2 linked regions of the Canis lupus familiaris genome follow. The main gene of each other region encodes a partner of the protein of the gene in region 2 in a complex. Links are inferred from orthologs where the notes say so. Each region holds a gene or a part of one and is shown on either strand. Other genes may lie near its edges. The genes, in order: SUFU and GLI1.

Region 1 (12,091 bases), on a different chromosome or scaffold from region 2:
TAAAAACTAGTCTTAGTTTACCTAACTCTTCCTACTTTTTAATTTTTTTTAAAGATTCTATTTATTTATTCATAGAGACACAGAGTGAGAGAGAGAGAGAGAGAGAGAGAGAGAGAGGCAGAGGGAGAAGCAGGCTCCACGCAGGGAGCCCGACATGGGACTCGATCCAGGGTCTCCAGGATCACGCCCTGGGCTGCAGACGGCGCTAAACCGCTGCACCACCGGGGCTGCCCTTGCTACTTTAAAAAAAAAAAAAGATTTTATTTATTCAAGAGAGACACACAGAGAGAGAGGCAGAGACATAGGTAGAGAGAGAGAAGCTGACTGCCTACAGGGAGCCCAATGTGGGACTCTATCCCAGAACTCTGGGACCATTCCCCGAGTCAAAGGCAGACGTTCAATCACTAAGCCACTCAGGCGTCCCTAACTCCTGCTACTTTTTTTTTTTCTTGCTACTTTTTTTTTAATTTTTTTAAATTTTTATTTATTTATGATAGTCATAGAGAGAGAGAGAGAGAGAGAGAGAGGCAGAGACACAGGCAGAGGGAGAAGCAGACTCCATGCACCGGGAGCCTGACGTGGGATTCGATCCCGGGTCTCCAGGATCGCGCCCTGGGCCAAAGGCAGGCGCTAAACCACTGCGCCACCCAGGGATCCCTCTTGCTACTTTTTAACAAGACTCCAAAGTAAATATTTCAACATACAACCCCTGAATTTGGCGGGGTTAGTGTCAGTAAATATGGTAAATGGACATTCAAAGATGGTAGGAAATATTCAGATTTATAATCTATTACAACTAAAGCCACGCTAAATGGACGAATGAATCAATCCACTATTGTCAAATTTGTGCTTAAATTCTTGTTAGCAGGGTGTCAGCACAATAGCGACAAGTCGTTCGTCAGCGAGCTTCCCACAGCTTTCCTGGGACCCTAGCACCTGAGGATGCCTCAACATTTCTATTTAAATCTGGGTTCCTCCTAACACTAGGGGGAGGCCAAGAGCCTTGGGACCCCCCCCACACACGGAGAGGGAGGCGGGACCTATTGCCAAGTCACGCCTTCCCCATCTGTGACTGGCACAGACACTAGCCAATGGATACCGGGATAGGGCGCGCCGGCGCCCCGCCCCCCCGAGCGCTCCGCGGCCCCCGAGGCACCCTCCGGCCGTCTCTGCGGCGGCTACGGCCTGGGCAGACGGTGCGCCGTGCGCAGGCGCGGAGCCTAGACCTCGCTGCAGCCCCCATCGCCTGGGGGAGTCGCACCCACGGAGTCCGCCTGCTGGCGCGTCAGAGCTCTCCCCCTCGTCCACCCTCCCCGGTCCCCCCAGCGCCCTACGCGCCCGGATGGCGGAGCTGCGGCCTAGCGGCGCCCCCGGCCCCGCCGCGCCCCCGGCCCCTGGCCCTAGTGCACCCCCGGCCTTCGCCTCGCTCTTCCCCCCGGGACTGCACGCCATCTACGGAGAGTGCCGTCGCCTTTACCCTGACCAGCCGAACCCGCTCCAGGTTACCGCTATCGTCAAGTACTGGTATGCCCTGGGCCGCGGGGAGACGGACGACGGCGGGCAGGGAAGGGTTAGAACGCCCGGGGCGAAGTCATCTGCGGGGGAGGAGGAGGTGGAGAAGAATGGTTAAAGCACTTGGAAAGAGGGCGTCCTGCTGCGAGGCAAGGAGTTAAGGCTGAAGTTGGGAACGGGGACAAAGGGGTTAACGGAGCCTCTGGGTAGAGGAGGGTTAACGAGGGGGGAGGATGAAGGGTTAACTGGGATTAGGAGAATAGAATGAATTGGGGGTGTGTGTGTAGGAGCGGGGGGGGGGGCCGATAGGAGAAAGGGAACTGTAAACGTGGTGAAAGGAGGGGGCGCCTGTAGGGGGTCATTAGTGGGCTAAGGGAAGCCGGGGGCGGGGGTGGGGGAAGAAGGGCGGCTGAAGTGGGATGGGGGAGGCGAGGCGGGGCCTGGGGAGCACAAGAGAGGGCTTTGGAGGAGTGCGGCTGGCGAGCTCAGAGGGCTTGAGACTGCACAGGGTACGGTGGATTTGGGGATCCCCGCTCTCCCATAGGTTAGGAGGGAGGCAAGTTGCGAGAGTCGTGCTTGTGAAGAGAGGAAGAGGAGGTCTCCTTTTAAGATACCTTCCCCATGAGCTCAGACGTCAGTCATATCGGTGCAGTGCTTTTGCGTTTGAAGTTTCACGGAGCAACTTTTCTTGATAAACTTTCTGCTTACTCGGCACAGTTCTCTTTCTCCAAGCAGAGCTTCCTTTGGCTCTGCACCCGCTTTGCCTAGGACATTGGCTAGAACAGAGGCACGGTCAGGGAGATAGATCCATGGTTTGGCTCAGGATTGCCGGGGACCCCAGTAAATGATGAAGACCTGAGACACGGAGCAAAGAAGTGCAGCCAGATGTTTAGAGGGGCTTCCTGGCCCCAAGCTTCAGGATTTAGACCACAGTCTCTCAGGGAAGCTGAGAGTAACCCTCAAGTGGCTCTGTTCAGGATCATAGAAGGCCTGCCCTTGGGGTAGGAATGGTCCTTTCTTGTTTCCCATTCCTGTTTGCAACCTATCTCTTTTCACAGCCACTGGGCAAAACAGGTGTTAGAGGGACTCTGACAAAGAGCCTGTCTTCATGGTCTTTCTGGACCATATTGACTGAGGAATTGGTAGAATTTGTCCAGAACTGCATTCATGCAGGCACTGTATTAAATAATCCCCTTCACTGAGTCCTGAAAGACTGTTCAGAAAAAAGCTTGGGATGTGCCAAGGGGGCAGGTAGACCCAAAGGGGGAGGTTGAGAGAGTGGATGTCTTTGCTGGTTACCTCTTCTTTTAGGATGGAAGCTTCTCCAGGATAACCTCTTAACTTCCTCTGGAGATGGCAGAAACTAGACTGTCTGGGGCTGAGGCCAGTTGCCTGTGTCAGTGGGACAATATGAAGAGACAGGGCCTGGGGACCAGCCACCTCCTATGAGAGGGTCATGTCTGGTAGCCAGAGGAGATGTGGCCAGTGGTACAGTTCTCTCTTCAGCAGGCAAACTGTTCTTTGGTTGAGAGGAGTTTTTGAAGAGAGCTTCTGAGTGAAAAGCAGCTCTTGATAACTTAATCACCCATTCTCATTTCTTGCCTATATTTAAGTATGTGTTGTGATGAACTGTATTGGATTGTGTCATGGGGAAAGAGGGCCTGGTTCTGCGATGCTGTTGGTTCAGGTCTCATTTGAATGAACAGAGAAATCCCTACACAGACTTAGGCAACTGTTTTTATGTCACCCAGTTGGCCATGAAGGATAGAATTGTGTGCAGAAGATATTAAAGCACATGCAAAGGACTAAGACTGATTTGGGCAAGCTTGTTAACCAGGCAGGACTTATCTTCAGAAATGGGCCAACATGTAATGACTAATAAAGAGTACTTTGTGAGATTAGAAATGCTGGCCAGATGCAGAAAAATATAAGAAGGAGCAGCTGAGCAACTAGTTCTTTCTAAGATTTGGAAGGGTTTGCATAATTAAGATTCTGAAATTAATTCATTAATATACATCACACTTGGGATGCCACAAGGCCTCGTTAGCAGTTTGACTGACCAAGGCTACCTGGGTCTGGCTGTGGCCCACGGTCCCTTGAGATTCCTTTTCTTGTGACAGAAGGTTGGTTCTTTGGCTAGTGGACCTTGGCCGGCAGGGACATCCTGGCTGAAAGCTGATACTTTAGTGGGCAGGGAACAGAAACACAGAGGCAGAGCTTGTACCCAGGAGCCACTGCAGTCCTACAGCTGTCATGTGGAATGAAGTTAGGTGTTCAAGGAAGTAAGTTCAAGGAAGAGCATCAAGGGATACTCTGGGTCCTTGGATAACATATTTTTCTAAGTGCAAGATATGATTATTTTCTACATAATCATCTGTTTCCCATCAGGTGTCTGAGTAAGTAGAACAGAACACTGTGCTTGGGGACAAGGTTAATTTTGTCTGACTCTTGGTTATTCCTTACAGTTATAGTTTTAAGATAAAGCCTCGATCCTTGATGCAGTATCTCCTGAGAGAGGGCTGCAGAGGTGTGACAGATGGAGTATGGAAGTGTGGATACAGTTTTGCCACTTGTTGCTGGATGCACTTAGGCTGAAAGGGGCAAGACTGGGAATTTGCAGCAGGAAACTGGAGCAGATCTGGAGTTTGTAGTCACTCCCATCTGTTCTGGGCTTCTGCAGCTATCATGTGGTTCTTCCAGAGATAGCTACCCCTATGTTTCCTCCTTCCCCCAGCAAACTTTTCTGTATTCAACTAGTTGTGGAAACATTCAAATGATTTGGTCAAATCAGAGTTAAGGAAGGACATGGGGATTTGTCTCTTTTCCTAATCCACTCAGTTGAGTTTCTGAGCTATTTGTAGCAACTTTCTTACAAGATCTATAAATAACTTAGCATTTCCTAGCAGAGAATAAGGATTTCTATAAGGGCAAATAATATCCTGGCAAAAGAGGATGAAACCAGACTTACTGGTTTTAAATAGTATTTGAATTGCATGGTACTGGAACTCTTGCTGGGATCACATGTAGCATGTCTTTTATTTTCACATGTAGCATGTCTTTTATTTGGTTATTAGTGTTCCTGCAGCATACGATGCCAATTGCAAAGTGTACTCCATCAACGTCCTAGGGGCAGGCAAAGTTTTTGCAGTCTGTGGAATAGTCAGATGTCCGAGGCAGCTCACATGCAGAGTGTTTGTGGGCTAAATGCAGACTTCCTTCCGCTGATGGTTTCCATTTAGGCTGTTTCTCAAGTCTATTAAGTTTCCCTATCCATTCTGAAGAAAAGCAGGACCTTTTTTTTTTTTTTTTTTAAGAGAGAGCATTAATTGCTCTACTAAAGGAAACCCTTATGGAATTAAATCCTCAGAGTGAGCTAATGACTGAGTCTCTTCCTCAGCTTCTTGTCTGTTAGAATTATGGGGGAAGTTTAATGTGGTCCTCAGAGGCCCCAAATCATTTAATATTCTAGCCCTACCTTTGAGGCGACAGTCTCCTGGGATCATCTTCTGAATGCAGGCACTCTCACGGGTCAGTCTGGCCTGCTGCAATTCTCTGTGCAGGGCTGAGCTAGCCTAAGTGTGGCCTTTGTCACTTGCATGAGAAAAGACCAGCTTTGGTCTGTGGGGTACAGGCTGGGGTCTGGAGCCATTGAGTTTGTTTAGAACAAACTGTAATTAACATAGGGCACAATATAGTCTTTCAGGAATTAGCTGTCTAAGAGGCAGGAGTGGAGCCGAGCCTCTGCTTCCAGGAACAATGCCCATTGGGGATGCTCAGGATGATCTTTCAACAGAAGCTGATTGATTGACTGATGCACCTCTTCCCTTGAAGTTTGTTATATTTACAGGCACCATGGAAGAGAGATAATCCCTGCCAATCCCATTTGGGATTGGTAATTTGAATTAGGAGGAAGCAAAAGGGACAACCACCTAGTCTGTTTTATTTTTTAAAAGAGGTCCTGCATGTTGGGGATAGAAGGGAGCGTCTTGTGCTTATGGAATTGGGCAGCTTCTAGCTACCTGTCCCTTGGTCTTATCCCAGAGATGTGGCCTCCTTTTAGTTATCTTTCATTCCAGGTTCTTCCAGGATGGGGTCTTTAGATTTGTAAGGCATAATGTCTTAGCTTCATGTTGTGTACTTTCAGGCTCTCACTGACTGTGTTTTGTCTTTTGCAGGTTGGGTGGCCCAGACCCCTTGGACTATGTTAGCATGTACAGGAATGTGGGGAGCCCTTCTGCCAATATCCCTGAACACTGGCACTACATCAGCTTTGGCCTGAGTGATCTCTATGGTGACAGCAGAGTCCATGAGTAAGTGTATGACACTTGCCCATCCTCCACCTGTCTGTTCTTTAGCCTTGAGTCTTATTTCTGGGGTTTCCCTGAGCAGGGGTGATAATGTCATAGTTCTCTGAGGTTGGCACTTCTGAGATGGAACCTTTGGGTTTCTACCTTCTGCTTATATCTACTTGTGCCAGAGTGATCCAAGTCAGCACCTGACCTCTGCTCATCTGGTACAGGACAGTGTTGATGATGAGCAAGTGTTCCAAAACCATTAGGTTTTTCTAAGCTTGCTCTGGTGTTTGAGCTCAGAGGACAGGCAGTGTAGCTCTGATGCAGAATTTGATTTGTTGTCTCTAAGTCTACTTGTTTTTTTCCCCCTCTAGCTTATAATAAAAAATTTTAAACATAAGGCAGAGCTGGAAGAATTTTATAGCCAACAAGCAAATATCCACTACCTAGATTCTGCAATTAACATTTTACTTTACTTGCTTTATCATGAATATATCCATCTCTCTCCCTCTATTGATTGTACCTACTTCCTCATCACCTGCAGTTGTCTGTGCTCAGATTATCCATAGCACATTTTTTATTCTAGTTTGTCTCCCATTTTCTCCCTGTATACTTCTATTTTTTTAATATTTTATTTATTCATGAGAGACAGAGAGAGAGAGAGGCAGAGACATAGGCAAAGAGAGAAGCAGGCTCCATGCAGGGAACCCAAGTTGTTTGTTTGTTTTAAGATTTTTTTATTTACATGTGTGTGAGAGAGAGCACAAGTCAGTGAGGAGCAGAGGGAATGGGAGAAGCAGACTCCCCACTGAGCAGGGAGTGGATGTGGGGCTTGGTCCCAGGACCCTGAGGTCATGACCTGAGCCTAAGGCAGATGCTTATCTGACTGAACCACCCAGGTGCCCCTTCCCTGTATACTTCTAAATTCTACCTGCCCTCCTATGTACACCTATAGCCACTGAATTTAAACAAATTTTAATACTAAGTTAAACATCAACTTAGTATTAAGTCAGCTGAAACAATAACAGCAATACTAATAATGAAAGCTAATATTTATTAAGCATTGATTATGAGCCAGGTATTATTCTAGTCACTTTGCATGTATAAACTGATTTTATTTTCACCACAACCATATAATACTGGTAGACTCCTATCTGCCCCATTTTACAGGTGAGGAAACTGAAATACAAAGAGTCTATAACTTGCTTAAGGTCACACAGCTTGGATGGGTGGAACCAGGATTTTTTTTTTCTTTTTTTTTTTCTTTTATTTATTTATGATAGTCACACAGAGAGAAAGAGAGAGGCAGAGACACAGGCAGAGGGAGAAGCAGGCTCCATGCACCAGGAGCCCGACATGGGACTCGATCCGGGTCTCCAGGATCACGCCCTGGGCCAAAGGCAGGCGCTAAACCGCTGCGCCACCCAGGGATCCCCAGGATTTTTTTTTAAAAGGTTTTATTAATTTATTCATGAGAGACACACAGAGTGAGGCAGAGACGTAGGCAGAGGAAGAAGCAGGCTCCCTGCGGGAAACATCTTTTTTTTTTTTTTTAAAGATTTTATTTATTTATTCATGAGAGACACAGAGAGAGAGCGAGAGAGGCAGAGACACAGGCAGAGGGAGAAGCAGGCTCCATGCAGGGAGCCTGACGTGGGACTCGATCCCGGATCTCCGGGATCACACCCTAGACTGCAGGTGGGGTTAAACCGCTGTGCCCCTGGGGCTGCCCCCCTGCGGGAAACTTGATGTGGGACTCAATCCCAGTATCCTGGGATTACATTGTGAGCCAAAGGCAGATGATCAACCACTGAGCCACCCAGGGGTCCCTGGAGCCAGGATTCTAATAAGGCATTCTGGCTCCAGAGCTCAGACTTTTAACGACTGTGCTTTTAGACAATTATATCATGTCCTCGAGCAAGTTACTATCTAGAATTTAAAAAAAAAAAAAAAAAAGATTTTTTTTTCTTCTACAGTCTTTTGTGAGAAGAGTTCTTTTTCTTCAACTTAAATATTGTCTTCCTCCCCCCTCATTAGCATGGTTAATCAAGAACTGATTCTATTTCTGTACCATATCCTCTCCTGCTTTTTGCTTTCTGTCTTGTCTTTTTTCCCTTCTATATTATCTTTTGGGTATCTTGGTGATGACTACTTAGCATGTGTAGGTTGAAAGACTAGCAGGGCTCTTCCTGCCCTGCCTCAGCAGCATAAGGGGATGATTCTGGGGGTGATGATGGTATCATGATAAAGAAGATGATAATCATCAGGGTTTTTTTCCCCTTTGTTTTAGTTCTTAGCATCAACTTTATCATCGCATCAAATACTTTACAATCTTACCAGGTTCTTTTGTTATCTTCGTTTTATAGAGGAGAAAACTGAGTCACTTGAGGGGCAAATGAATTGCCTAAAATAAAAGAACTAGGATTCACTTGAACTGTCTTGAGTCCAAAGTCTGGGCTTTTAACCACTAGAGTCTTCTACCTCTCTGATCACAGGTCCAACCCAACTTCCTCTTCTCTCTCATCAAGCTGGGGGCCCAGGCCTCATCTCCTTACTAATCACATGTTGAGAGCAATGCTTGGACCTGCCTAGATAGCCTTCCAAACTAATCCATTGCAATGTCAGAAGGCTTTGGCAACAGTGAATTAATCTTGCCTGAGTAGGGACCCTGCATTACAGTGTTAATAATGGAGATAGAATAGCAAACAGATGTGGGCAATAAAGGCACTATGCTGGACTTTAATGTATATTTTTAATAAGGAAAAAAAAAAAAGAACCTGCAGAGGATATTTAGTGTAGTTAGCCTGTACCTTTTTGTTGACAGATTTATTCCAGTCAAAAAATATCATTTCCTATGTGGCTTAAAGATTCTTACACTATACTTGCATATGAGGGATGGGTCCAATCCCAAAGTGACATGAAGAATATAATTGAGAAAGCCTCATATTTCAGAGGGAGCAACCTCTGAATTTTTTCTTAAAGATTCTATTTATTTGAGAGAGAGAGAGCAGGCACAAGTGCGGGGGAGAGGCAGAGAGGAGAGGGATAAACAGACCACCTCGAGCGGGGAGTGCAATGTATGGTCCATCCCAGGACCGCAGATCATGACCTGAGCTGAAGGTAGACACTTAACCAACTGAGCCACCCAGGGACTCTGCAACCTTTGAATTTTAAAGAGGGCCTTCCTTAATGTTTTTTCACATTTGAAAGTACCCCCTTTCTGTATGATAAAGCACTGTGATGTTCATATGTCATTTATGACATTAGACCTCAGTTTGGACCGTACTTTACTGCTGGAATCTAGTGTTTTCTGGTATTATGTCCTACCCCTAGAAGGACATGGAAGGAGTGTTCTTGGATATTTATCCAGTTCTGGTCTGTGTTGCAGAAGTCATAAGTACATTTGTAAGTAGTCTTGTGCTGGTGTGACTGATCTCTTCTCAATCCTGGTAAGTTTCTTGAAGAAAAGTTTGCTTTTATGAACATTTCATGTGGCAAGGCCTCTTTGAAACAGATTTAAAGATTCTTATTTAATTTAGTGCTTGAAGCTGAGATCAGAAAGGTGAGTGTTCTACCATCCAGTTTAAATGGATGATAGAACACTTTTAAAGAAGTGTTGAACTGAAATTATGGCAGATGAATTTCTGGTAGTGTTCTTCCACTGTCTTATTGCATTCAGTAAAAAAAAAGCGGGGGGGGGGGACCAAGCTCATTTATTCAGCATATGTTCCTCAAGTACCCATTTTGTCCCAGATGCAGAACATCTTAATATATGTCTTGGGGATAAAATGCCAAGACATAATTCCTACCTCAAGGAGTTCATGTTCTAGATGGGAGATAAACATAAAGAGAAGGTTATAGTACTGGGAAATAAATGCTGCAATCCGTGGATGAACATGACTTGGGAGCAGGATGAGGGATATGACTTTTAGTCAGGCTGTTGGATCTGAAGAAGCTCCAGGGAGGAGCTGAAGTTTGATAGGTGTCTGCAAGCTGAAGGCCAGTAAGAAGGAAGCGGGCCAGGGGAGATCACAGCCTGATACCCTAGGGCACCAGCACTCACTTCCAGGGTTGAGGGGACTTTGACAATCTTCTGGCCCAATGTTTCCCAAACTTCTAGTGCCATCTTCATAATTTTTGCCATGTAGTAGGTCATCTAGTTTATGTTCTTTTTTTTCTTTTTGAAGATTTATTTATTTATTCATGATAGACACAGAGAGAGAGAGAGAGGCAGAGACACAGGCAGAGGGAGAAGCAGGCTCCATGCCAGGAGCCCGACATGGGACTTGATCCCGGGACTCCAGGATCACACCCTGGGCCAAAGGCAGGCGCCAAACTGCTGAGCCACCCAGGGATCCCCTAGTTTATGTTCTTTTAAAACTAACCCTCCTTTTGTGGTACCTGGGTTACTCAGTTGGAGGAACATGGGACTTTTGATCTTGGGGTCATGAGTTAAAGCCCCATGAGTTAAAGCCCCACATTGGGTGTAGAGCTCACTAAAAAATTAATTAATTAACTCCCCTTTTTGAAACTGATATATATTTTTAAAAGTTAAGTCATTATCACAAATGGAAACCAGTATTGTTTGCCATAATTTAAAGGTAACTATGGAAATGAATGCAGTGATAACAAAGCAATGTTATTAAATTGTAGCTTAATACTGTGGCCTGTCACAGAAGATTCTAAATCTGAGGCCAGATTTCTCTTTGTTCAAGAGATTAGCAAGTATGTTAGAGGTGTTAAAAAGATACGCTAACACCAAATAGAACCTGACACTAGGCATGATTAGAAAAATTGAAAGTGAATTGAAAAGGGAACTTTTTTTTAAGTATCATTCAGGGGCACCTGGGTGGCTTAGTTGGCTAAGTGTCCAACTCTTGATTTTGGCTCAGGTTATGATCTCAAGGTTGTGTATTGGAGCCCTGCTTCAGGCTCCCACTGGGCATGGAGTGTGCTTACAATTCTTTCTTTCAGGGCACCTGGGTGGCTCAGTCATTTAAGCATCTGTCTTTAACTAAGGTCATGATCCCAGGGTCCTGGGATTGTGCCCCACATCAGGCTCCCTGTTCAGTAGGGAACCTGCTTCTCCCTCTGCCCACCCTATCATGTTCTCTCTCACTGTCTCTCAAATAAAATAAATAAAAATAAAAAGTATGATTCAGTACTATTATTGTTAAAAAATGGGAAACATTGATCTAGTTCATGTCCCTTAATTGTACGTGGAGGAAAGTACAGTAACCCCCTGAAGGCCATACAGCAAGCTAATGAGAGTGGCAGGATCTCCTAGAGTCTCTACTATTCTATGCTCTATTCTATGCTCTCCCTCTCTCTCTTTTTTAAATATTTTATTTATTTATTTGACAGAGAGAGAGAACGTGAGCACAAGCAGGAGAATGGCAGGCAGAAGGAGAAGCAGGCTCCTCGCTGAGCAGGGAGTCAAGGCGAAGCTTAATCCCAGGACCCCAGGATCATGCCCTGAGCCAAAGGCAGCTGCTTAACTGCCTGAGCCACCCATGTGCTCCTATGCTCTTTCCATGATTGGGGAGAAAGGAATGTATGGACATTTTTTTGTCTTTAGCATAATAATATAAGCAAACTTTTTCCCCCCAGGTTTTACTGTATTCCAGGTTATATATAAACTATATAAACTCTTTTCATAAAGGTATCTTATGTTATCCCCATGGTAATTCTATGACACAAGGAATTCTTATTATGTCTCACTTATAGATGCAGAAATTTAAGTTTAACTTACTGCATAGGTAATAAATGAGAAGCCAGGTCTAGTGATCCCACAGCCAGTATTCTAAACCATTGTGCTCTACTTACGGTCTTTACATTTTGATCAGTCACCATTTATTCAGTGCCTCCAGTATGCTTCCTCCCTTTAAGATTTCTCCTTCTCACAGATAGCCAAGGATAGGTTAAGCAGAAGTCCAGGGGTCCCTTGTCTCTAGGGCCAAGGGTCTCTTGCCCCTAGCAGGCTTGCTTTGGGAGTAGGAGAGGACGCCTACCCTGGTACTCCTAAAAGACGTGAAGAGCAACCTGGTTGCCTGAGTCCTGGAATGGCCAGTTCCATCTAGGTTCTTTCCGTATTCAAATTCACCAAAGGAAATAGGACAAGAGAGTACTTGTTTGGATTAAAAGGCTCTTAAGAGGCTCTTTCTGAAGTTGGAGAGATGGAACAAGTTCTAGTCTGGGCAGCCACAGGAGAGAATGGAGTGCTTTTCTAGGAACCCTAAGGCTACCCTCAACTGACTTCAGTGGCAGAGATTGTCCTGTTGCTCTTC
Region 2 (12,587 bases):
TCCTAAGATCCAGGAGTCCTAGGAGCTCTGCCTGGGTGGGGAGCACCAGTGTAGGGAGGGAGCCCGAGCTTGGGAAGGGGGTGCCTCACCGTACACTTGTGCGGCTTCTCGCCCGTATGCCTGCGCATGTGCACCACCAGCATGTACTGAGCCTTGAAAGGCCTCAGCTCCCTGGAGCAGCCCCCCCAGTGACACACGAACTCCTTCCGCTCCCCATGGATGTGCTCACTGTTGATGTGCTGAGGAGGAGATACAGAGGCTCTCTGAGGCTCCCTTCTGCCCCCAAGGCCCAAAAGACACCTTGACCCCTTGACCTCCCCAGCCCGCCTTATGCCTGCAAGGCTCCCCCTCATGGGGGAAGAAGCGGCAGAAAGAACATTCCGGTCCTTCCAGGTTTCTAAAACAAAGCTGCAGCTCCTGAGTTTCTGCCTACCTGACTGACCACTCAACCTCTGGCCTCAGTACCCTTGGAACTCCGGCCCTCAGCCTAACCCCACAGTGTCCCACCAGAATGTCCTACAAGATCCAGCCAGCATTCCTGTTACCCCCTGGGGCTCACGTGCACCAGCTGCTCCTGGGAGTCAAATTCCTGGCTACAGCCGGCCCAGCGGCAGACCGTCTCATAGGCAGATTCGGGCTCAGGCTTCCCCTCTCTCTCCAGGTCCTCCCGCCCATCCAGCATCCCCAGCAGGGGATCCTAGGGCAGAAGAGGCAATCCTAGGTCACTTGGGTGACAGCTTCGGTTTAGCTCAGGTTTCAGAGTTAAAGTCACCCTCCCCTCACTTACCTGTGTGCCTGTGGAGTTGGGGCTGGACATATCACCCTCCAAGGGCTCCTCTGGGCACTTGCTAACCAGCAGGTCCAGCTCAGACTTTAGCTTCCCCAGGGGAAGAGGTGAGGGTGATGAAGGTAGAAGTGAGCAGAAGGAAGAGGGAGCCCAGCCAGGTCTTCCTGCCCTGAGTGCCCCCACCCAAGCAGCTGGAACCCTTGGGTTTGGAAGAGACTTCCTCCTCAGACAGCACCGGGATGGGCAAAAGGTGGGATCTCATCTGGAGAGTCTGATTCAGCCCCAAGGAGTGAACCCCAGCAACCATACCCCTTTATTTTTGTGCTACTGAAAACTTTTATCTGCCCTGTCCTTCCTTCACCCCTTCCCATAAGGCCCGCCGCCCACCCACCCTGAGCTGAGGGAAATTGGGGAGCAGTATGAGGACTCTCACCTGGCAAGTCGGGAGGGGTCCCCGGGACTGAGGATGCGGCATCATCCCACCCTGAGAAGGGTCATGGGGACCACAGGGCTGGACCCCGAAGGAAGGCGAGGTCCCTTTTTGGTGATTCATCTGGGGTGGGAATCCCAGAGATGGGCTGAGGAGGAGGAGGAGGAGGAGGAGGAGAGGCAGTTACTTAGGACCATCATCTCAGAAAGTTTCAGGAGTTCTTGGGCTATTTTGGAGTGTGTCTGAAAGACGTATGGGAAGTGGCTGAGGCAGTCTCGGGGAAGCACTGAGGAGGGCTTCAACACCTTTGAAACGATAAGGATTCAAATAGGGCCAGGTGCTTTGGAGGGCTTGAGGCTTTTAACGGGGTTTGGTAGGGTCTTTAGGGGCCTCTTAGCCCAAGGCTCTCTGCACCTCATGGTGCCGATGGAGAGGTGACCGTAGGAGCCCCCGGGAGATGCACAGCGTGAGTTGATGAAGGCCACAAGGGAGCTGGGTGAGGTGCGGATAACTGTCTGCAGGTCCAGGCTGGCGTCTGACAGAGGTGAGATGGAGAGTGCCCGCTTCTTGGTCAACTTGACTGCACTTCGGGGAGGAGGAAAGAGTGGGGCTGGAGCAGGAAACAGGGGAGACAGCTGTGGTAAATGGGGCATGTCTTCACGCACTCAACCCATGGGTCTTGACTCTCAACAAAAAACATGACACGTGACTCTGTTTTGCCCTACTGACCCCATCTGTGACCTCCGCATCATGCCCAGACCCCTTGCTCCAATCTCCAAGCATTTCCTCCTCCAAGTTAGATCCCCCACCCCTTGTCCCACCCACTTTCTCTTTAAAAGCAAGTGCCAAGGGATGCCTGGGTGGCTCAGCGGTTGAGCCCCTGCCTTAGGCCTGGTCCTGGGGACTGGATCCCGGTCCCTGCAAGGAGCCTGCTTCTCCCTCTGCCTGTGTCTCTGCCTCTCTCTTTCTCTCTCTCTGTCTCTCATGAATAAGTAAATAAAATCTTTAAAAATAATAAAAAATTAAAAAATAAAAGCAAGCACCAGAGGGGCAGAAAGGGAGGAGATGTTGAAGCCTCACCCTCAGTGCAGCTGGTGGTCTCTCTGGCTGGCCCATAACTGTGGGGGCCGGACATGAGGTTGGCCTGGTGGCAGAAGGGCAGACCAGGCAGTCCTAGAAAAGAGAGACAGCCAGCATGGGGAATGGGAATGGGGGACACACAAGGCCTCACCTTCACACCCCAGAAGAGACTCCATCCTCTATCCCAAGCCTGTATGACATGGAGGCTTGAGTCTTCTTGTGGATTAGAAGCCTGTGTGGGGTGGGAGATGGAAGAGGGATGCCTGGGGCTGGTTGAGAGAGCCGCTGCCAGTCCTCAGGACCTGGAGGTTGGTATTTGCACTGACCTTCTGTCCCCATGCTGGGGGCCTGACTGGGGAGGGGCCGGAGACAGCAGGGCTCTCCATAGCTACTGACTGGCGGTGGGGTCATCGAGTTGAACATGGTGTCTCAGAGGAGAGTGTGGGGACACTGTAGGAAGGGAAGGGAGATCTGCAAGTTACAGAGGCAGGAGGGAGATAAGGAAGGTCAGATAACTAAGATCTAGAACCCTGGGCAGGGTCCCTCTAAGACACCTGCCATGGAGAATCAATGTGAAATGAGCATCCCTCAGCCAGGGGCAGGGGGAGGAAAAGAGCCCCAAAGAAGCAGAGGCAGTCCTGGGGATCCTTGTGGGAACGGAGTGCCATCTTTGCCTGAGTGGTCTAAGTGCACGTGTGCGCGCGCGCGCGTGCGCGCGTGCGCGCGCGCGCGCGTGTGTGTGTGTGTGTGTGTGTGTGTGCGCGCGCGCGCGCGCGCGCAAGGGGGAGGGTTATGAACCTAATGAGCCTGTATGAGCCTCAGGTGATTTTATGCCTGGGCCCTCCCTCCACATCTTCTGGCTCTGACCCGGGGCCGGCCTTGAGGGGTGGGATGGGGAACCCCTGGGGAACCCCTTTGCCGTCCTCCGTTCCTGCCCCGGAGCGCCCGTCTCCAATCTCGGCGGCACCCAGCAGAGGGAGCTCTCGCCTCGGGCCGCGCCGGGAGGCCGGTGGGCCGGGAGGGAGCACGGAGGAGCGGCCCTTCTCTCTTTAAGGCAGAAAACTGTAGAGAAGGGGCTAAGGTTTCTGAGGGGAGCCTCCGGGGTCTGTTGGGTACAAAGAATGGAAACTGGTGTTGTCCTGGGGCAGAATGAATTCGGGCGCCCCCCTAACTTGCTCTGTTTGGGGGGGAGCAGGAAAGGGCCAGAAAGAGAAAGGCCCTGGGAGAAGGGAAGGCACAGGCACCATCCAGGGGAGAAGAGCTGCGGGAGGAGAGGGTTGGGCCGGCGCTTCCCTCCTCAAACTCCGGCTTCGGCTCCAGCCCGGGTTTTCCCGCCTCCCGGGGCCGAGGGTGGGGTGGGGCGGGGTAGGGTGGAGAGCGCTCGGGAGCGGGCCCGGCCGGCGCGGTGGGTGATCCCGGGATGCTGGGATTTAGGGTAAGGGAGGGGTGAGATGGGGAGCGGAACCCGGACCCCACGACGCAGCCCGAGCCCCGCAGCCGGGACCGTACCCTTCCTAACTCCTCCTTTCCCAGCGCAGGGCCGGGCCCCGCATCCAAGACCTCCCAACTCGACCTTGGCACTTTGTGTGTGTGGGAGGGGGGGGGGGGGCACAGCTGGCTGGCAGCTGGATAGGGGGACACTTCTCCCGCCTCCTTCCTCTATGACTCACCGGGGGAAGGAGGCGGGGCCCGCAGACGACCCCCCAATACTAAGGAGACTCCCCCAAACGTGCCTACTCGGGCATCTTCCCGCGCCACTGCCCGCCGCCGAGGGGCCGCGACTAAACGGGGCGACATCCCCGCTCGCCCACGCGTGCCACAGCCCACCCACGTCTCCCCTTCGCCCTGGCGACAGGAAAATTTCGCCAACGTTTCCAGCTTCAGTTACGTCTTTTGCTGGGGTGTGGATGAGAGCGCAGGCCGGGGCAGGGGGCTGAGGGTCGCCCTGATGGAGCCCTGAATCACCCTCGGCGTCTCCCTACTTTCCGGAGGCCCCCTCGCACCCCCGCTCCCCAACTCCCAGGAGTAGGCCCCGCCCCCTCCTCCGGGTCCCGCCTTCCCCGCCCCCGTGCCTCCTCGGCCCACCCAAGTCGCCGCCGCAGGCTCTGGCTGCAGACGGCTCCGCTTCCCCCGCCCGCCCGGGAGCCCAGTGGAGCGAGCCGCGGCGGAGGGGGCGGGGGGGCGGGGGGCGGGACGCATTCTTCCCTCCTCCCCTCTGTGCGGCCAGAAAGCTGGCAGCGGCGCCCGGGGGGGCGGCGGGCACTGTTGGAGGGGGGGGGGGGTCCCCGTGGCTGGGTGGAAAGGAAAGAAGAATCCAGAAACTATAGGGAAAGAAGGTGCCTGGGTAAATAAAACAAGGTGTGTATGGGAGGAGGGAGGGGTCAGGACACCTTGGGTTTTGATTTTCGCAGCCGGCTTCCCAAGGGTTAACCCCTCCAGACCCCCGGGAACCCCTTAGTGACGTCAAGGGCGGGGTCTGTACTGCCTGGCTAGGGATGCCGGGGAGATAACTGGGGGGGTGTCTCTGGACCCCGCCCCCATAGGGAAAACCACCCTAATTCCGGCCCTTACAACTCCCCGGGGAAATCGCCCCGCCTTCCCCTCCCACTGGACAGTGAAGATCTATCCTATGAAGACCCCCAGTTCTCCAGCCCCCAAAACCTTAAGTCCCTAGTCACTATGGGATCCCCTTTCCTAATCCTGTCCCCAAAGCCAGCGGCCCAGGGCGGATTGTTTCGGGGTCACCGGGCCTGAAAGAGGCTTCAGAGCGGGGAGCAAGGGCAGGCAGGGTGGTCTGAGGCAGAGGAGGGGCCTCGGCCCCCAGCTCCCGTTGGGGAGGGGGGTCCAACCGGGATACTTAGGCAGGCAGTGGCCAGTGGTCCCGCCCAGTCCCAGTAGGGGTCTCCCTGCGGCTGGCCCAGCTGTCCCGGTGGTCCTGAGGTCAGAGGGTCAAGCCAGGGTCTCCTCAGCTCCGCCTCGGCACCCTGACCACGGCTCTGGGGACTCAGGAGTCCTAATTCCTTGAGGAGCCTTCTAGGGCCTAAACAAGACGCCGGCCCCTCCAGCCCCCTTCCTAATCCAGAAGACGCTCCGTTCCCGAGAACACATGCACCAGCAAACGCATCTGTCATAAGACAGGTCAGGGGTTCAAGCCGAGCCATCCCCCACTGGTTTGTCCCCTTGCACACACCCGTCTCCACCCCACCCAGGGCTCTCTCCGTGGCTGTTCCCTCCTTTCAGAAACCCTGACGTCTCCTGCGGCCCCGACACACCTGGACTTCCGTCCCTACCACGCAGACCTCCAGCTAGCCGTCCCTCCTGCCTCTTCATGCCAACCTCCTGGAAGTAACCTGTCCCTAATACATAGGAGAGGCGGAGACAGACAAAGAGATCCCCGGGTGCCTGGGACAGAGACACAGAGGCTGTCAGAGGAAGGAGAAGGAGAAGGAGAAGGAGGAGAAGGAGGAGGAGAAGAAAAAAGATACAGAGAAAGGGAGATACAAATGAAAAAAGTCCTTCAAACTTTCTAGATCTCGGCCCGGGCTCTCCCACCCCCTTTGTGCCTGGGTGCCCCGGGTCTCCCTCTGGGCTGGCCAGAGCCCGTCGCGAGCAGGGCATCCCCTCGCCCCCTCCCCTACGGTTCCCAGGTGGTCCCCCGCCCGCCCCCCTTCTCACCTCCTTCTGGGCGCCGGGCTCGGGATGCGCGGTCCAGGGCTGGAGTGTGGGCTGGGGGGTGTGCGGTGGGGAGGGGGGGCGCACAGGGCCACGGCAGCGCAGCCTCATGCCACCCCCACCCCCTCCTAACCTGGCCGCCAGCCCTCCCGCCGGCCCAGCCCGCCGGGCCGCGAGCCGGGACCACCCGCGAGAAGCGCAAACTTTTTTTTCCCTTTTGCAGAAACTTTTTCTCGCTCAGGCAGCTGGCGCGCCGCCGCTCTTCCCGCTCGCCTCTCACCTCCCTTCCACTTCCCTCCCTCTTGCCGCTCTGGAGAATGAGGCGGGGTAGCAAAAGCTAGAGAGGGGGTGCCGGGCTTATTGCACCCCCAGGACCCCCAGGATCCTCCCCCTCCCTGGAGGGACCCTATACTGCCTCCCCCCCCCCCCCCCCCCCCCGCTGAACACGCTGCTGCTGGTGGGCAATAAATCCCGGCATGGATCCTGGGATCGGCTGCCCACGGAGCGGCACCCCCACCCCAACCACAGTCAGAAAAAAACTAACAAATACATTGGGAGGTGGGGGGCGATGAAAAAGTTCATCCAAGAAAGATAATATTGGAGGGTAGCGCCGCCGACTTTGGTTGGTGCTGCGAGTATTGCGTCATCCTGCAGGTTATCTGTTGACCTCCCTCTTTCAGGGGAACATGAAGGGGTTAGGACAGATTTGGGGTTTGGTGCAAACAGGACTGGAACAGAGTTGGCTTAGAAGTGAAGGGTCTATAGGGCATCGAAGAGAGGGCAGCGGCTGAGGCTCCGGGTGCAGAGTGTGCGGTTCACACTAAGGAACCCTGGGGAGGCACTCAAGCGCTGTAACGCGGAGACACCCCCCACCCCCCACCCCCCCGCCCGGTGTCCTGCGTCTCTAAGTTCTGGAGACTGCGGGCACCTCCGCACCTCGAGGCCGCCGGCTCTCTGCTCTTCCAGGCTGTCTGCTCCCTCTGCTGGCCTCTCTGGCACATGGCACACTCCCGCAGGCTGCAGGCGGAGAAGACTGGGGGAGCTGCAGGAGTAGGAGGCTTCCTAGGTCCCCCCACCAAACCCCAGTTAGGAGCCCAGGGAGGGGTGTACCAGCCCAAAGAAACAGAAGGGCACCCTAGAAGAGGCTGCCAGTGCGGAACGGCAGCGTCTGAGAGGGGAGTGCCCTGTCCCTTCGGATCTGTGTTGCCATAGTGACTGGATGCAGGGGAAGGGGCAGCTATTTTAGTCTCTGTGACCTTTCTTTATGAGAAAGGGGAAAAAACGTGGTGAGGAAAAGGAGTCCTTTCCTTTCCTGTCACCCCTCAGATAGACCTCCCACATCTTAGCTCTGCTTCCAAGAAGCACCTTCTTGGGCCTGGAGAGTTAGTAGGTCAGCTATTAAGACTGAGGGTCAAGGGGAAAAGGTGAAAGTGGGAAGAGGTCTGAGGCCCTGCAAATATAGGTTGTAATTGTGGGGGAACAGATACAGAGTCCTGTTTCACTGTCCCTCCCCCATATGACTTTGGCCTAGACACCAGTTATACCCAGAGGTCAGGCAAGACCAGCGGTCAACGGGAGAAGGAGCCCTACACATTCTCCTGCCTCAGCCGTCTGCCCTTTCTTTCAGAGAAGCTCTTTTTTTTAAATTTTTAAAAAAGATCTTATTTATTTTTTTAAAAAAGATTTTATTTATTTATTCACGAGAGACACACACACACACACATAGGTGGAGGGAGAAGCAGGCTCCATGTGGGGAGCCCAATGCAGGACTCGATCCGGGACCCCTTGGATCACGACCTGACCTGAAGGCAGATGCTCAAGCGCTGAGCCATCCAGGCGCCCACAGAGAAGCTCTTTTAGAACACGCTACTTTTTCCTCCTCACCTAGGTCTCCAGATTAGTGATTCTCCAAAATTTTGACTTTAAGACCCCTTTACACTCCTTTTTTTTTTTTTTTTTTTAAGTAGCCTCCCTGCCCAACATGGGGCTTGGACTCGCAACCCTAAGGTTAAGAGTCATCTGCTCTACCCACTGAGCCACCCAGGCACCCTGCCTTTACACTCTTAAAATTTATTGATTTTTTGTTTATGTGTTTCATATCAATTTACTATATTAGAAATTAAAACCGAAAAAAGTTTGTGACACAAGAATACACAAGCACACATCCCATTAACAATGATGTCAGAAAGATGATGTAATCACATGCCACGTAGCCTCTGGAAAACTCCACTGTGTACTTTTGAGATAATGAAAATAAAAAAGGCATCTTAATATTATTATGAAAATAGTTTTGACTTGCGAACACTCCTGAAAAGGGTCTCAGGGACCTCCCAGGGGTCCCCAGACCTTACCTTGAAAACCACCCCCCTGGGTCATCACCGCAGCCCCTCTTTATGACTCAAATTTGTTGATTGATTTTTCCCCTCATTTTTATTGGGTAAGTATAAACATTTGTCTCCTCGGTGGGTCCTGTCCCCCACTGGGGAAAACCAGGAAACTTCTTAGGCCCAGCACTCCTCTCTCCTGGCTCCCATTTCTGGGGCCCTCCCAGACACCTCCTCTTAGCCCCCTGCCCATCTCCTTCTTGGCCCTCCCTTAAAGCTCTTCCGCTGCTTCTGCCCTTGGCCAGCCTGGTTCCCCTGTCCGAGGCCTGCTTCCCTTACTCGAGGACTTTCTCTTCTTGGGAGAGACTAGGTAAATTTTCTCTGCCTTCTGCCCTCCCTCCATCCCTCCCTCACCTCTGCTACCTTCCCTTAGGGCTTAGGGAAGGAAATCATGCTTCCTGGGCAGACTCTTTCAGAGAACACACTTTTCCCATCTCCCCACACACCAGCCAGCCTGGAACAGGCAAGATTCTGGATGAACAAGTGCCCATTTGGGTCACCCAGGTCACACTGCCACCCTGCCGTTGGGTAGGGGTGTGGGTCAGGAATGCAATGTGGCCCGCCACAGATGCCCTTTGCCTGGGAACCCCCAACTGATCTTTTCACTCCAAATGCCCAGGTCCTCGTGCTAGCTGCAGCCACAGGCCTCCACCACCATGTCTGGCACATCTGTCTTGACCACATTGCCATCACGGTCCAGGTAGAGGAGAGAGAGAGGCCTCCGGGCCGTAGGAACACAGCAGGACGTGCCCAAGGGCCAAGGGTTGTTGGCCTTGAGGAGGCTGAAGACGGCCGAATGGAAGGAGGCGGCGATGCCGGGGCTGCCAGCCAGGTGCGGGGGGCACTGTCCACTGCAGTAGTTTAGCTGGTACCCCTCGGGCTGCAGGATCCAGTCCCGCCATCCCAGCTCCTGGAAGTCGACATAGTGGTCTCGCCTGCAGCACAAGGGGGTCTCGGGCTCGCAGGTGGGGGTCCTCCTCCTGGCCCGGCCCGCTCCGGGCTCCCTGGGCCAGATCTGGAGCTGCAGGAAGGGCCGCCGGTCCCCGGCCGTGTCCAGGAGCCGCCGCCCCAGCTGCTGGGCAGAGGTGCGGTTGCCTGGCAGGAGCCTGCACTTCAGCTGGAGTTGCAGGACGGCGGACTCCTCAGCCCTCAGGCCACCAGAGGGCAGAGCGAGGGCGTGCCAGCCCGCAGCCGGCAGGTGCTGCTCGGCCAGGAGGGTGCGCGCCCCCCGCTGCCCACCGCCCGGGCGCCGCCCGAAGACCCTCAGGTACAGCGAGCCGGGCGGCGCGGGCCGCGCGTGCAGCCAGAGGCGAGCCCGGGACAGCTGGTGGGGCTGAGCCGTGGACAGGTCGAAGGTGAGCACAGAGCTGCAGGCCGAGGTGGAGTCTGCCCGGGAGACGGCAAGGGGCAAGCACGTGAGCGGCGTGGCGCTGCTCCAGGCCCTGCAGGCCCAGCCCGCCACTCGCTCGTCTGCAAGAATCGGGGACCGCCTGGTGTCCCCCGCCCTGCTCAGCCGGTCCCTGCCCCAACTTCTCCTCCTCCCACACCCTGCTCGCCTGCCTTTCCTGTCGGGGAGGCCTCCCTCACCCGCCTCTCCCTTACCCACCTGCCACCGTTGCAAAGCTGATGACCTCGTCTCCATCTGCTATAGGCATGCTTCGGGGCTGTAGTCTGCGGAGGGCTCTGGCCAGCGCTGCCTGGGGGGGAGGGTGAGTTATCCTGGGACGACTGGTCAGGTGCAGCCCCTCCAGGATCTGCTGCTTGGCTAGCTCCAGGACCAGAGCTCGTTCTGCTTGGGGTGCCAGCGTGGGGCCTCCGCAGCTGGGACATCCAGACCCTGCCCCCTGTGCCCACACCAGTGCCCAGAGCAGCACCAGCTGGGGCTGGACATCAGGGAGCCCCATGCTCCTGGAGAGTGGCCCTGGGTTGGGTCAGGAGCCTCGGATGGCAGTTGCTCCTTCTGTTGATATGATTGCGTGGAAGCCAATGAGGGCACAGCAGCAGCAGACAGCAGTGCCACACCTACCCTTGGCCAAGGGTAGAGCCACCTGTCTTCTAGTGCCTGGGACTCAGGAAGGCTGCATGTGGATGGTCTTATGGGTGGCTGCATATAGCGCATCTGCCAGTTTGGCCCTCACAGCTCACGGCTGGCTCCTGAGTGGGGCCTCTTTAGAGCCGTAAGCTGGGGCACCCTCACTTAGTGGTCAGCTAGCAGACCTACCCTCTGAGCCCCTGGATTGGCCACCTGTGCTGCCCATCAGGTCCCTGCAGGGGGTGGAGGCCCCCCCCACCTCGGGTTTCACCATCTGGCCCTGGTCACTGAGTTTGAGGTAGGGGTATGGGGGTGGGGGGACAGTGTGGACACACATGATGCAAGAAAGAGAATGATTTCACATGCTCAGTCCCCAAGGTCTGGGGCTCGGGGGAGGGACGCATAGGAGCAAGGTGGGGAGGGCGATCTCCCCCCATACCTCTAGTCCTTCTAGCTTACGCAGCCACTTCTGCTGCAGCAGCTTCTGAGGCAGCTGTGAGTTCCACTGGTTATCTCCCCAGGGTCTCTGGGCCAGAAGCAGAACTCTGGTCTCTCTATTCCTAGCAATAGGGCTAGGACAGGGGGGAGAGGAATGGAGTCCTCCTGCCCAGGCCAAGGTGGCAGTGCCAGGGGGCACGGAAGTCACCTCCTGACCCTGCCTGTGCTGGCTGCCCAGAGTCCAGTTGGACTGGAGCACAACGTGGAGGAGGGCTGGAGCATGGTGGGGGGGTGGGGTGCATGTTACATGCATGTCTGGGGAAACCCAAAGAGGTAGGGGTGGTGGTGATGCAATCTGACAGCAGGGCAGAGTCCATCAAGGCTGGCAGTAGGGCATGGGATTTGGGCTGGGTCTCTTTAAGGTAAGAGGACTGTGAGAGTTACCTAAATCGGGGCATCCTAGAAGTGGTTCGAGGCCTCTGTGAGAGGGGGCAGGAAATGGGAGGTTTAAGAACTTTGAAGAGCAAGCGCGAGTGCGGGCGACCTTAGTTCCGATCTGGCCCTCTTCACACTCCTCACTGGCTAACGGGAGGGCCATGGTCCCTCCTCCTTGCACTTCCGACGGTAGACTTCATGCTAGCCTCTCTCCGGATGCCCCGGGTTTCTTCAAGAAGCTAGAAGGAAGGGCGTGTGATTTGGAACTGTGCCCCACCTGCATTTTATTCCCCCCCACCACCCCGCTTAGCCCAGTGGGGGCTGTCGAGAGCCCAGCAGATGGGGCACCTGGGAGCGGGACGGGAAGGGCGCGCCCCGGGGCGGGGCCTCAGTACCGCTGGTGTCCGCCACGTGGCGGTGTCGGGCCGCTGGGCGCCGCCGCCGAGCTGCCGGGAGCCGAGACGCAGCCCGCCAGCCCCTCGGTCCCCAGGCCCAGCCTCTCCCAGCGGAGCAGACGCCAGTCCCCGTGCGCCCCCTCCGCCAGCACCGGGGCGCAGAGCCGTCGTCAGGCCCCACGCCGCTGCTACCTTTGGTTTCAGACCTCGTCACTTTGACACGTGGCAGTGGAGCTTGGTGATGGGTGTCAGGCCCTTCCCAGAAACGGTGTGGTGGCGGTGGGGGCGGGGGGGGGGGGACAAGGAGGTTTTAGACCCTCCTGTTCTCCCTACATTTCTCCCCCGGTGGGGGGGAAACATTCAAGCCCCTCTGCCCAGTTCTCTCCCCCAGCTCTCCGCCACCTCTCTGTTGGTGGAGGCTGGTGAATGACCGCCCTCTACCCCTGGAGTCTGGGACATCGAACTGCAAAGAAGTTTCTGCCCATGGTGGAGTCTCAGAGGGCTTACCTGTTGGCGCCAGACACAAGAGTCCAGGGAAGCAGCACAAAGTGGCTGCAAGAGTCGCTGACCCCACTTCTCCCCTACCCTCTATCAGGTGCCCCCAGTTTTCAGCTCTTCCTACCCTCTTGCTGCTGTGCCTGGCCTGGCCCTACCTCCCCACTGACACTTACGTCAGAACCCAGCTATAAATATGCTCTTAGCATCTTAGTCACTTTCCCCAAGAAGTGCTCCCAGGTTATAAATACCCCAGCCATCTGCCTCACAGGCCCGCCCTACCACCAACCTGGTTGGGTGCTGGGGGGGAGGGACAGGCTTGGGGGCGGGTAAGAAAGGAGAAGAAGCCCTAGTGATTATCTTGCCCAAATGAGAAAAGCCTGACAGTCTAGGGTTAGGGGCCAAGAGGCTCTGGGAGCAAAGGTTTGGAAGAAGACAG

The links.
Region 1: the proteins of GLI1 (region 2) and SUFU are in contact, whole or in part, in a crystal structure (PDB 4KMD), measured with the Homo sapiens proteins. The link is inferred for Canis lupus familiaris from reciprocal best matches to the Homo sapiens genes GLI1 and SUFU. Residues at the interface, in NP_005260.1 of Homo sapiens: Gly119, Ser120, Tyr121, Gly122, His123, Leu124, Ser125, Ile126, Gly127; in NP_057253.2 of Homo sapiens: Leu144, Tyr147, Asn153, Thr154, Phe155, Gly158, Asp159, His160, Val161, Ser162, Trp163, His164, Gln212, Asn265, Leu266, Ser267, Gly268, Val269, Ser270, Ala271, Glu376, Leu380, Lys398.

The regions. Positions count from the first base shown.
Region 1 is NC_049249.1:15,182,545-15,194,635, forward strand, and holds the start of SUFU (suppressor of fused homolog), read left to right. Parts: upstream 1-1,161; 5' UTR 1,162-1,342; coding exon 1,343-1,524; intron 1,525-5,687; coding exon 5,688-5,822; intron 5,823-12,091. UniProt on the Homo sapiens protein: Negative regulator in the hedgehog/smoothened signaling pathway. Down-regulates GLI1-mediated transactivation of target genes. Down-regulates GLI2-mediated transactivation of target genes. Part of a corepressor complex that acts on DNA-bound GLI1.
Region 2 is NC_049231.1:1,912,765-1,925,351, reverse strand, and holds the start of GLI1 (zinc finger protein GLI1), read right to left. Parts: upstream 6,319-12,587; 5' UTR 5,973-6,318; intron 2,748-5,972; 5' UTR 2,721-2,747; coding exon 2,624-2,720; intron 2,391-2,623; coding exon 2,298-2,390; intron 1,828-2,297; coding exon 1,632-1,827; intron 1,366-1,631; coding exon 1,221-1,365; intron 878-1,220; coding exon 788-877; intron 698-787; coding exon 560-697; intron 240-559; coding exon 90-239; intron 1-89. Other genes in the region: INHBE (inhibin beta E chain), read right to left, coding at 8,982-9,739, 9,960-10,257. UniProt on the Homo sapiens protein: Acts as a transcriptional activator. Binds to the DNA consensus sequence 5'-GACCACCCA-3'. Regulates the transcription of specific genes during normal development.